Arabidopsis thaliana: one gene and its partners. The protein of the gene in region 2 interacts with the protein of the main gene of each other region in a pairwise test. Each region holds a gene or a part of one and is shown on either strand. Other genes may lie near its edges. The genes, in order: GRL, ABIL1 and SCAR2.

Region 1 (4,415 bases), 4.2 Mb from region 2:
GAGTTGTAAGGGAAAGACAATAGCATCCTACTAATTCTGAGAATCCTAAGCTTTTATGTTGATAATAATCTAGCCGTTCGTACCATGGGATGAGCAGAATTTGTAAGTATATCTGGGAATCTAGGATGATATGGGCTTAAAAATCCCTCATTTCTCAACTTCCTCGTATCTGCAGATAGAAAAATACTGGGTCCTACAGCCTCCAGGACCTAGGAAAATAGTAACGTTGTTAGTACTGCTGTATCAGTTGCAATATTAGCTCGTAGGATACCCGTGATTTGAATAAAATATTAACCTCTCCAATCCTTGGGCTGACAAAATTCAAATCTTCTTGTAAGCCTTTCAATGGGGGATCATAAGAGTCTATGAATTGCACCAAGCTGGATGCAAGACGAGGAGTGTTAATATATGATATCAGAGTCTATTGATTATATACAAATTAAAAATGATACTACAAGGAAAAAAACATCCATACCGGTGATAAAAGTCACAGTCTCGATCATTTCTTGATAGCGCATGCAGAAGGTTGTAGACTTGCAACAACATTTTCCTAGGAATCTACTTTGATAAAATAAACACTCTTACATATTGATAATAATGTAATGTCTCACATGACATGTGTAATCAATCCAAATAAACAAAGAACTAAGAAAAGGAACAAGCTCAGCATACCTTCTCTGCGAAGAGATTGACTCGGACAAATGCACAAAAGAGATCCATGAATGCATGCAGAATAAGTGAGTTCTGATGAGGCTGCAAAAAGCTGAACTAAGTTATGAGCTAATCATGAATACTCAACAATTTTATCTTCATCCTCACAGACATTTTTGACAAGTAAATAATAACTTAATGTACCAAAACATTTCATGACCTCCACCTAAGGTACGAGTTCAAAAGAAAGCTCAAAGTTTCAACCCAGAGCAAGTAAATACTTTCCGCAGATGAGAGACTTTGACTCACCAGCAAGGTAATTACAGTGCTGCTTAGGTCCAATATAAGCCGCAGTGCCTGTTCTCGAAATGCCATCAAGTCGAGCAGCAGCTGATTCAAGAAAAGAAAAATGCATGACGAGAGGACTATGAAGGCACCCCTTACTGAAATGCTACACACGAACTAAGGAAAGAAGGCTAGCAAATAACTACTCGTTTACATTTTAAAAGTTAAAACCATGTATTAGGTAAATCATATATGCATGCCCAGATATATAAAGCTGACTAATGGTGAGATGGAATAGAAGATTGAATATTGACTATATAGCAGACTGAAGATTGAAGATTGACTAGGTACACAAAGAAAACTAATAGAAAGATTGACTATATAGCATGTAGGACTTCCGAGATGCTTCACCATTCTCGAACAACAAGTTTCACAACAACAGAACGTAAACCCAACAACATATTACATAGATAGTTTCTTATTACCTGTATCCATGGCTCTAAGCTCTGTAAGTGAAGTTCAGCACCATCATGCAAGCTATCCAGTGAAAACTTATCAATCTGCATAAGTATTGCAGAATAAATCTTTTTTCATTTACCATCAGATCAACAAATCAAACAGTAAGTCTAATAAAAAAAGAACTCATGACTTACACGTTCAAGTTGCAATTTGCTGAAATGCTCAGGGAACTTTTTAGAGAGCAAAGTGCATATCCGTGGATGGTTAGGGAAGACACCCGCTTTCCAAAATGCTTCAGAGAATACATGGCCAACAGGATCAGGATACTCCAAGATTTGATTCAGTCTATACATTTTAGCCATGAGACCGTCAGCAACCTCAATCATTTGAACTACCCATTGTATGTTCAAAGCCTTTGTGGAACCACCAACATGTCCATCAATTTGCTTAGAGCTCCTAGTAGAAGACACTGATGCAGCCATTTCAGGTCCCAAGTACTCAGTCCATCTGGAAGGACCTTCCCATTCCCTTGATCTCACAGAAGTCGGGGACATTGATTCATCTTGAGATGGATAATATTGACGAGAATTCGCCATTAATTCAGTACAATAATCTCTACAATAAAGGAAAATGTATTTCAAAATCACGTTACACAATCTCGTCCAACATAATTTACTTAGCTCTCTACTCTTGCATTCATCTTCCAAAAACCCAGTAATACTCAACAACGAGTGACGAGTGAGAATAGATATCCCCTCGTCAATTTCCCAGCAACCAAACAAGGAGCTAAAACCAAGTCAAGCAAGAGTCTCGTGAAGATTGAAAGTTACCTGAGAAGCTTTAAAGGCGAAAGTCAAATCGAGCAAAAATGTCTCAGTAAGATCGGAGCTTCGTCTGAGAGTTCAGATCTGAATTTCTGCAACCTACTCCGGAGACGATGATGACGACGACAAAGAGGAGAGAGAGCGTCGGGCTTAATCGGAGTGTGTGAGCCGAGAAATAAAGAGTTGCTAAATTCGGGTCTCTCTCATTTAAGACAAAATTAGTCAGTAGAATTTCTTTCGTTTTCAACTAAAATGCAGATTTTTTTATTTTTTTTTACTCTTTTCTTGCTCAAGCACATTTTTTACTTTTTACCTGTAAATCTAAACATTTCCATAGGAAACGAAACAATGTAAGTAGAAGAAAATTATGAACAATTGAACAGCTGAAAGTGTTTATCCCTTTCAAAAAATAAATTGTTTATAAAATTTTAATAAAATATGAGATTTTTAGTTATATTGAATCGGAATTGTCTACTTGAATTTGAGCAGTGCAAGACAACATTTTTTCACTAGAAAAAATGATATTTCAAATCATGTGTTGTTTTGGTTTGATTGTAGTTATTTGGATTACAAGTTTTTTTTAGCAAAACTATAGGATTAGCTCCAACTATTGAGATTTTAGCATAACAAACCAATGTTCTTTTATCATATGTACATTAACAGAAGGTAAATTCAAATCTACGACATCTATTTCAATAATGAGGATAGCTAAAATAGAAAAAAGTATTTGGTATATTATGTAGTAAGTACTATTTTTAGTATTTAAAAGGAAAATTTCTGTTAGAAAAAGAACAAACGTTCTAGTTGGGTGGTTGAAATGTAAGTTTTCGAAGCTTTGACAAAATGAGAACAAGTCCCTTAACCGGTAATTTTTAATATTTAAAAACAATTAACCAAGAGAACAATATTGACGTCGACAAATACTAACTTGTAGTATATAATTATCATTATCTCTACATATGGAGTAGCTTTTAGGTGTAATAATTGTCAATTATTTTAGAATTACTGTGTTAAACTTTAGTATGATTCGACTAATAAATAATGTTTCTGACGTTTCTGATGATGAATTTGCCCCTCCCTCACTTTTTGTTGCGTGTCCAAAGCTCAGTGCTATCCAAGCATTTCATCTTTTCAACATAATTATTTGATTTGAGAATTTAATCATAATGTTGATATTACTTTTTTACTAATAGAAAACAATCAAACAATCAAATTAATAAGTAAATTAGTGGAAACCATGACACACAAAAACAACTTCATATAATAAAGTAGGGTTGACAACGCAGGAATATTGTATTACAAGGCACATCTTGTAACTTTGTTGGACAACTGTGGCTAAACAAGCTTGGCCTTCACAATAAGCAACAATGATTCCAAAATCTTTTCCCTCTGTGCACATATCATTGCATCACAGATTTTGTTTCCTTTCACATTATCTTTTGAGGTCCCTATGAACCAGAAAATAACAAAAAAACGGTTTTCACACGGTTGCTACAATATGACCGAACCTATATTCTTTATTCGCATGAATCTTCCATTAGCTTCTTCTTTGTACTCGGCTATTATCTTGGATTCCAATTTCTTCATCTCAGGACTGGGCAGTTATTTTACTGAACTCCAAATTAATTCAAGAGTCTACAAGTGTAGTTGCTGCCGTGCCTAGACCTACGGAGGTAAGGTCCATCTGAAGAGAAGCATTTTTCTTGTCAACATGTTATCTTATATAGTATGAACATTACCAATCCGGTGTACAATTGTTTATAAATAGATGGATGGTGGTCCAGTAGCATTTGATTTGGTCCCTCCAAAGGAGTTGGAGCTTGCTAAGCACTAAGCACTAGTTCAACCCGCTAAGGGTTATGGTTTTCGGTCCACGAAGATGTACTGTCCGAAACTTTTTGCAGTTAAGAAGAAAAAGGCATAACTCCATGAAAGATCCAATCAATTTCAACGCCAAAGCTCATTATTCTCTACCATTATTCAAACAATTTCATTTCATTAAAAGAAAAACATGAAAAGAAAAAAGGAGAACGAGAGATGGGAATTTTCAGTCCAAGGGACAAAGATGGAGAAATCTCGTTTTGATCCTCGATTGAGAAAACAACAATCTGTGTTGCGGTGGAAGCTTGGAGAAGGATGCTGGAAAAAATAGAAAAAGCTCAGTGCTTGGCGTCTTCTTCTTCGCAGAACTTAGAG
Region 2 (4,415 bases):
TGATCTGTTCTTGGTTAGGTTTCTTAGAGAATGATCTGTTTTATCAGTTGGTGATTAGCTCTTTCTCTTGTCTAATTTCGCAGGGATGATATTGTTTTCAAAGACCCTATGAACACTTTCATGGGAATTGATAACTACAAATCCATATTTGGGGCCTTACGTTTCCATGGAAGGATCTTCTTCAGAGCACTATGTGTGGACATTGTTAGTGTTTGGCAACCCACAGAGAACACTCTGATGATACGATGGACTGTTCATGGAATTCCTCGTGGTCCGTGGGAGACTCGTGGTCGATTCGATGGTACTTCTGAGTATAAATTCGATAAGAATGGCAAGATTTATGAGCATAAAGTCGATAACATAGCCATTAATTCGCCTCCAAAGTTTCAAATGCTCACTGTTCAAGAGCTTGTTGAAGCCATTAGCTGCCCTTCGACTCCCAAGCCGACCTACTTTGAGTTCGGAGATTGATTCATCATCATCGTCTGAAACATCATGCTGGTGTTATGTATACTAGTAGTCTTTTGTGTGGTTATAAATAGAGTGGTACTGTAATATAGATGAAGAAGGAACGATTTAAAATAAACCCAATAGCATGAATACATTACACGCTTTTTTTGCGTATAATAATCAATAAAACGCCTATATGTACATAAATTTGTAAAATAACAGTATAGCATCATGATACATAAATATGTTGACTTTGATTACTATTATATTTTGATTCAAAAATATTGACAAGTCACTGCAACTCCATGAGGCACCGAAACTAGTAAGCCTGGTTGTGGAACTTGGTCCACGAAGTCGTGTTGACGGTAGATGTCAAAAAGAGTTGACAAGGCAGTTAAGCAAGGTGTGAAGAAGTTGAATTTCAAGACTAAATGTAAGTACAACCATAGCTACTTTGAACATTTCTTGCCTTTACCGCAATCTCCTCAAGCGACTGAGCTACAGGCTTGAAATTAAATTCGAGCAACTCGTACATTTGTGTATATCCATACTTTGACAAAAGCTTTTTATTTATAGAATATGATTTATACAGCCTACATTTGTGTATATCCATAATTTAATCTTAAAAAAAACGCATATTTTTCTAAATAGAAATTCGAATTATATAACATGAAGACAACATTGGCACAAACCAAAGAAAAAAACTTGTTTGGTCATTTACGGCTGTCTTTTAATTCACCTGAACAGAATCATTGAAAGCAAATGGCAAAAATGATTTGTAAGACTAAAGTTGGGGCCAATGATTTTTGCCCAGTAAAACCATGATGGACCCATGGGCCTTTGCACGTGCAGGTCCGTTTTGACAGCTAGTCCACACGTGTGGATCTCATGTGAATGAAGCTGGCTTAATGCTGACGTGTCCGCCAGCGTTACTTTTTCATGCAACTTGCCGGAGTCAATTATAAAATCCAGTTGACCGGTCCTTTTGGCAAGGCTAGTTCCGTCATTTCAAATCCTATAGATCCACCTCCGTTTACTTTAAATGCTTGCATAGAATCTAACCACAAACACATAAATAATTTAATGTGTTATCAACAACCGCAATTAAAGCAGCATATACAAAGACATGTGATTTTTTTTACGGGAGTATTTTTAATGTATACTCGACAAAAATATTAAGTTAATGTCCTTTCAAATTATGCTGTATTAATTTTGTAATTCAGAGGTATCTTATAGTATGATCAAATTATTAATTAATCTTGTTTTTTTATGTGTTCATAATAACTTATTTAAGAGAATTATATTCAAAAAAAAAAAAAACATAGTGCGTCTTTCCCAAAGTCGTTTTCTTCTATACACCTTTTTTAATAACTCTGGAAGCAAAAATGGCATAAGAGTCCTTTGGATTTGGAATCGCTTCTACTTCACTCTCACCTTCCTCCTATTCTCTCTCTCTTTCTATGTCAAGTTAGCTTAGCCGTCTCACCAGAAAGCTAACCTTACCTCACAAACATTGATTGTGTTACACTAATCTCTTAAATAGAGAGCCGTAATTTCTACACACTCTGATCGCTAGATGGAAACGGAGATATCAGGAATGGATAATCCAGCTATGACCTTGGACGAGGTTTCCATGGAACGCAACAAGAGCTTCGTTAAGGCATTGCAGGTTCCTTATTATCTATCTCTCTGTTACTAGTTCTTCCTTGTCCACATTTTTTTGTTGGTTCTGATCAGTTAGATTCTGTAGAAATTAAGAGCTATGATCACAATAAACTTGGTTTAGTTGAGGCAGATCCATGATCTCGTTGTAGGCTAGGCTAATATACATGTTGGTAAAAACTTTAAAAGTCTTGTTGGCTGTAAATTTTGTGGATTAAGTTTATTGATGGGACCAAGATGATGATTGTCGGTTAGTGTGTTACTACTGTCTTCAAGATTTGAATCTGGTTCTCTTGGAATTATCAAGACAGACTATGGCATGACTTAGCTACCTAGAGACGACGACTCAAGAATCTTCTGATTTGTTTGTTGGTTTTGTTTGGCTTATTACAAATGTTATTTTTACTTTGGCCTTTATTGTATGTAACAGGAGCTCAAGAACTTGAGGCCTCAACTTTATTCAGCTGCTGATTACTGTGAAAAGTCTTATCTTCATAGCGAGCAAAAGCAAATGTAAGTAACCTCCTTAATTTTACTCTACTAGTAGCTTTGAATGACATTTCTTCTCTTTACATTATTACCTTTCTGTTTAGGGTATTGGACAATTTGAAAGACTACACTGTGAAGGCTCTAGTTAATGCTGTTGATCACCTTGGAACTGTAGCTTCCAAGCTTACTGATCTTTTTGATCACCAAAATTCAGACATATCAACTATGGAAATGAGAGCTTCTTGTGTTAGCCAGGTAACTAAACTCTCTCACACACTTCTCTATTTATTTATCTTACCTTTTCTAGGCAATCTCCCTTAAGGTTTGTGTATGTTCTTTTCATCAGCAACTGCTTACATGCCGGACATATATCGACAAAGAAGGTCTTAGACAGCAACAGCTATTAGCAGTTATCCCATTGCATCACAAGCATTACATTCTTCCCAGTAAGAGTTTTTCTTGTCCCTTGTTAAGATTCTGTTAGTTTACTAGTGAAATCTGATTTCTTTTTTCTCTCGACTGTTGTTAGATTCTGTTAACAAGCGGGTACACTTTAGTCCTCTCAGACGAACTGACACAAGACAGAATCATTACCAAGCTATATCCCGTCTTCAACCTTCAGGTGCAATGTCCTCATCTTTGAGCTTATTAGTTAATAATACAAGCAGTCAAATATCAAACAGTTTAAGTAATATGCTTGGTTTGACTCACTTAGATGCCCCTGCATCGAAATCACTCTCCTGGCATTTAGGCTCAGAGACCAAGTCTACCCTCAAAGGAACATCCACAGTTGCACCAAGGTGAGTTCACAAAAAGCTTTAGTACTGCTTCTCACGTTCTTGATAACTAATACATATTTACTGTGCAGCTCCAAAGATTCAAAAGCTTTCTCAAAGACATCTGGAGTGTTCCATCTCTTAGGTACGAGAAACAGGGAGTCGGGGAAGTATCAAACATAGCATTTCTTCTTAGACAACTCTTGCCAAGAGATTGATGATATACATTGAAACTCATGCAGGTGATGATGAAAACATAGCAAACAAGAAGCCTTTGGCTGGTTCTCAGGTCTCAGGTGTTCCTGCTGCATCCACTGCCCATAAGGTAAAAAAATTTAGAACACATGAAACTAATCTTTCATGAATCGGGCAGTTCATGTAGAAAAATGCAACTGGATTAGTAAGCTGTGTATTTGTAATCATGGTTTTGATGAGACAAGTTTGTGATTCAACAGGATTTGGAGGTTCCGAAACTTCTAACTGCACACAGGTCACTTGATAACAACCCGCGACGAGAGATCATTCAAGCTCCTGTCCGGACAAAGAGTGTTCTTTCTGCGTTCTTTGTTAAACAGAAAACTCCAAAGCTCAAAGCTGGCTATGTCTCGTGAAAACACCAACTCTTTGTACTGAGAAGGAAATTTCAATCTCATACCACGTTTCTTTTACCTTATATAATAACATGTTGATTTTCATGTAATTATCTTAATCACCACATCAACGTACGAAGTCCAGTAAGACATGATTTTGGTCTATCATTAACAAAACTGTGTAATAGATTAAGAATGTGTTTTTAGAATGTAAAAGCTTAATAAAGATTTCTGTTGAGTTATTAATTAACATTGTATCAAATTAACAACAGAGAAACCAACATAGAGAACAAAATGGCTCACAACATAGCCATTCCAACTCAGTTGATTCAGCGCGTAAACCGATACCAACTCAGGCTTGAGGCTTCAGGGCTTCATGGAATTCATAAGGTCTCTAATAAATTATCAGTACCTTGGAGCTGCACCAAAAAAAAACAGCCAAAGGTTA
Region 3 (4,415 bases), 2.9 Mb from region 2:
GTCTACACTCATCGTCTGTTTCTGTTTCCGACTCCATGGTGGCTGGTGCGTCCACATAATTGTCAGCCTCACTGGTTAAATCTTCAGAATAACTCCTCTGTTGAAAAAATCCTGGCTTCCCGTTCAAAACCGTTTGTGAATCCTGTGTAATAGTTGTTCCACGGACCTCATTGTATGTAGATTCAGGCACTGTCTCTATATCTTTTTCAATAAAACCCCCATTCATGTTAACATTTGCCACATTTTCCTGCTCACTTGGGAATGAAACCTCTGCTCTGCTTCCTCCATGAGACTTATCCATAGCACCCACCATACTGATTTCAGGTATATCGGTTACTACATCTCTAGCACTATCCATATTCCATGTCAACAATCCGGGGTTTTGGGTAATTATTTCATAACTTATCTTACTATCTACACGTGTCTGCACAAATTTCTCCATGTAGCTTTCCCCTGATTTTGAAATAAGGGAACACCCATCTAGCTTTCTGGTTTTCAACTTCACAACGCGCGCTGGATCTGAATGATGAGCCTCTAAATGCTCCTCCAAAAACAATTCATGCAATCTGTGCCAGTTGAATAATTGAAACCAGCCATTTTTAGTCACAGTCAGATACCAATATAGGAACTACATATATATCATAACAGAAATGACAAACACACAAGACATAAAATAGATAATACTCACTTGGCATGTGATGATAATGCATTTTCAGGTGTCCCTCCATTCCTCCACTGAGATGCTCTCCTCTACAAGAGAATAGAAGGAAAACTATGAGAATCACAAAATGGAAGGTAAGATTACACATTCAAAACACCATGAGCATAAGAAAATCTACTATTCAGAAAATCTACCATGTAATGGAAACCAAAATATAACCAAGAAGGATCACACTGCAACCCATAAGCTACAACCTGAACTAAGAAGCTAGTACCTTTGCTTTCTGTGATTTTTTCTCTCTCTGAATATCATCCCATGATTCTTCATATGAAGACGTTTCAAGCCTAACAAACGATGGATCGGTGTAGCGTTTCAAACAAGCCCCAGCTCCGGAAATATCAAACCTAATCAAAACCATCAGAAGATGTTACATATATCCTTCTCTAACAAACGACTAAAGAAGAAGTCCTATCAAACAAGGCTAAATCATACTTGTCCAGAAGAAATAGCCTTGGAGGACCTCGACATTCCTCATAAGAATCCATCACACAACGAGGTAAGTCACCACTTGTAACCACACTCTGTTCCAATTGTAGATTCGGATGCCATTCCACACCTGAAATAGAGTCACAGAATCATGTTGAAATAATCCAACATCATAGTAGCTGACCAGATCATGAATGTTCATAGCAATCTAACCTTTGTTAGAGAAAAACGGCGAATGATCGGTTTGACACAGTAATGCCTTCTCTATAGAAGGAAACTCTGCTTCCAACTGTTGCACACGAGCCATTAAACCATGGCTTCTAGAAGCAGTAGCCATTACTTCTTCGTGCAAGTCATGAAACATCTCAGCAGCAAACCTTCATCACAAATTACATGAATTTAAAGACAATTCCATCAAAAAATCAAAACTTTTTCCACTTCCACAACCAAATCCAGATTCATCAAAATTGTCGCTTTACAACAACGGATTCCAAAACTTCGAATTCGATGCGCTTAGAGATCAATTAGAGAAATTTCGATTGGAGAGAAACTTACTCAGCGAGATCACCGAGTTGACGCAAAATGCCAACGAGACCAGCCATAGCGACTCCTTCAAGCAGAGCTTCAGGGTCATCTTTATCAGCAGCTTGATACAGATCCGGATCTGCTAATCCATACTCGTTACGAGATTGGTACCTCGTCAACGGCATTGTTTGAGCTTCTCTGTCTGATCAGCTCGCTGATACTTTTGTTCAAATTCTAAAGGTAAGAACTTTAGAAAGAAGAAGACTAGAAAAGCTTCTCTGTCTTCATTTAAGTAGTGACCGACCACCATTAGATATGTGACGACATCACTTAGCTGGAAACTAAAACGGACTTTCTGTGGATTCAAGACGGCGGATATAGGTAGGGGCAAAGAGAGAGAGAGAGAGTCTGAGAACCTCAACGCTAAAAGACTTTTTAAGAAAACATTTCTTTTTCTATTTTTCGATAGCCAGAAATACTTAAAAAATTGTTACTTTTAGTGAAAAATTCTTACAAAACCAAAACCTTGTTGCAATAAAACCTGCATTTAAGACCAAACCCCTCGGGAACCTGATAGTTTCAGGCTTGAGGTTTGTCCAATTGTGATCCCTATCGAAACCAAACACAATCTAATTAAAGTCATTTTTGAGAAACGGATGAGAGTTAATTGAAAGATTAAAAAGGGAGCGAAGAGTCTATTTGAGTGTCACTGTTACTTCTCTGCAGGAATATTAAAAGACGTTGAGTTTCGACTACAGCCTACAGGTATGATTCGACTTCTCTCTTCTCACCTTAAAGTTTCTGTCTTTATATTCTTCTTCGCTCGTTGTAAAGCAATTCTTATTTGAGCTCCAAGTTTGAGATTTTTTTGTTTTATCTTGAAATCGTTTTTGGTTGATGTTGTTGTGAGTTTCAGGTTTAGACATGTCTTATATTCCACCACATAAGAGGCATTCGAAGGATCCGACAAAGCCTACCCCTGTTCCAGATTCTCTTGTTACAAAATTCAAGAAGAACCTTGACTTTAAGAGTAGCACTAGCAGTGTTAAACGCAACAAGATTATCTATTCAGGAGATTCCATTTCCAAATGGTTTCTTGTTGGTTCAAATGGAATTGAGGACGATGTTCCTTCGTATGTTAAGTTTGTGCCCTTGTCCTCAGATTCTGTCGAGTGTAGAAAAGGAGAAAAGCCTTCAATACTGATGAACAACAATGTCCAAAATGGTAAGAAACTATTAGTAGACTTTGGCTATGTGTTTGACAAAATGAATATCATCTAGATGCTGAAATAAACAATACTATTAACTATTTTGTTTGTGCTATTATCGTTTTTGCCAAAAGAAGATGCATTGTATCTATGTTGAGTATGGTTTTTTATATGTTTATATTCAGTGAATATGAATATTGGAGAGAGGAAGGATGAGAGAACTCAGTGGCTATTAGTAGCTGAGAAGGTTATGGAGGATCTTGTGTTGGCATATGAGCGAGTTAAGACTGAAATGAAGGAGCATCATCATGTATCGAGACTGGTTGCTCGGTTTGGTAAAATTTTCTTCTATGGGTAAGCGATTCACCGTCTGATCTCACATTTTGCTGTTTTCAGGAATGGGTTTATATTTTTTCTAACATATACAACTTTAAACCAGGAGTCAAGCTGGTCCTGTGGCTGAATGTTCACTAAAAAACTTGAATAAGATGTTCTCTACTGATCTCCCAATGTCTTACTTACAACACATAAAATCTAATGTTGTACCAAGCCATGGATTCTCTATTGATAAGGAGAAGGAAACATACACTGTGAAGGTACTCGTTTCATTTTCTTAGATTTAGATCTATACTTCGAATGTCATTTGAATGTGCTAATTTGGGTTTGGCTTCTATTTTTAGGTATCGCATTATTCTCGTCCTAATGCAACCATCAACTGTAAATGTACCCGTAAGGAAGATGGACGGCTCAGTATGTACAAGGCAAGTCTCGAGTTTTATGTGTGTAGTGACTACAACCAATAGTAAAATCTCTTCTTTATTGTTCTCGGACTAGCAAGAAAAACAAACAAGAATTTGATAGATGTCACATTTTTACTTGGTCTTCCTTTAATATCTAACTTTGAATCTTGAGTTTTGCTTTTATATAGGTCGACCTTAATCCTGTAAGGCATTTGGTTGTTGATGTGTCATGCATTGATAAGAATCTCGACATGAGACTAACGCTCACCGCTAAGAGGGAAATAACGTATCTCAGTGTAAGTTCAAGTTTGGTATATATATTTTACAATATATGGATAAATAATATGCTCTTCTTAGACTTAGGTTGTGTGATCTTTCTTTGATCGGCAGGATAAAGAGATAGGTGACATTAAAGCGCTATTGGAATCAGCAACTGTTGATCCAAATGTAAAAGGCGGTTTAAGGTGGCCGTTTGGTAAAGCTTTATCTGAAGATGGATACAAAGAATTTGAAGTTTGTCACGTTAGAGCTACTATCTACAAAAATAAAACTCTAAGGCTTAGGGTAAGAGAGACTGATAGATTCAATGAGACGACTGGAACAGGGGAAACCAAGAGGGAGGTGAGTTTGACGCTTAAAGACATCGACACTAAAATACAGGTAAATTATTGTGCTCTTGTACTATTTTAGAAACTCTAATGGAAGTGCGAGGCTTATGGTGATAATACTTGTGGTCTGCAGGAGCAGAACACTGAGAGGGGTTGTGTTTTGGAGATGCTACGAGATGCTCTTGGA

What was found.
Region 1: the proteins of ABIL1 (region 2) and GRL interact in a two-hybrid assay, tested with the Arabidopsis thaliana proteins (one study listed by BioGRID).
Region 3: the proteins of ABIL1 (region 2) and SCAR2 interact in a two-hybrid assay, tested with the Arabidopsis thaliana proteins (one study listed by BioGRID).

The regions. Positions count from the first base shown.
Region 1 is NC_003071.7:14,801,535-14,805,949, forward strand, and holds the start of GRL (transcription activator), read right to left. Parts: upstream 2,317-4,415; 5' UTR 2,226-2,316; intron 2,011-2,225; 5' UTR 1,992-2,010; coding exon 1,590-1,991; intron 1,497-1,589; coding exon 1,422-1,496; intron 1,042-1,421; coding exon 961-1,041; intron 754-960; coding exon 673-753; intron 559-672; coding exon 476-558; intron 381-475; coding exon 296-380; intron 210-295; coding exon 84-209; intron 1-83. Other genes in the region: AT2G35120 (Single hybrid motif superfamily protein), read right to left, coding at 4,379-4,415. UniProt on the Arabidopsis thaliana protein: Involved in regulation of actin and microtubule organization. Part of a WAVE complex that activates the Arp2/3 complex.
Region 2 is NC_003071.7:18,980,087-18,984,501, forward strand, and holds ABIL1 (ABI-1-like 1), read left to right. Parts: upstream 1-1,831; 5' UTR 1,832-2,026; coding exon 2,027-2,119; intron 2,120-2,137; exon of another isoform or gene 2,138-2,542; coding exon 2,543-2,625; intron 2,626-2,705; coding exon 2,706-2,856; intron 2,857-2,947; coding exon 2,948-3,047; intron 3,048-3,130; coding exon 3,131-3,401; intron 3,402-3,469; coding exon 3,470-3,522; intron 3,523-3,619; coding exon 3,620-3,702; intron 3,703-3,832; coding exon 3,833-3,988; 3' UTR 3,989-4,206; downstream 4,207-4,415. Other genes in the region: AT2G46220 (DUF2358 family protein (DUF2358)), read left to right, coding at 84-471; AT2G46230 (PIN domain-like family protein), read right to left, coding at 4,373-4,386. UniProt on the Arabidopsis thaliana protein: Involved in regulation of actin and microtubule organization. Part of a WAVE complex that activates the Arp2/3 complex.
Region 3 is NC_003071.7:16,092,992-16,097,406, reverse strand, and holds the start of SCAR2 (SCAR homolog 2), read right to left. Parts: upstream 2,173-4,415; 5' UTR 1,858-2,172; coding exon 1,703-1,857; intron 1,525-1,702; coding exon 1,361-1,524; intron 1,278-1,360; coding exon 1,154-1,277; intron 1,066-1,153; coding exon 936-1,065; intron 751-935; coding exon 689-750; intron 567-688; coding exon 1-566. Other genes in the region: AT2G38430 (uncharacterized protein), read left to right, coding at 2,597-2,897, 3,066-3,234, 3,320-3,476, 3,561-3,641, 3,809-3,916, 4,011-4,280, 4,362-4,415.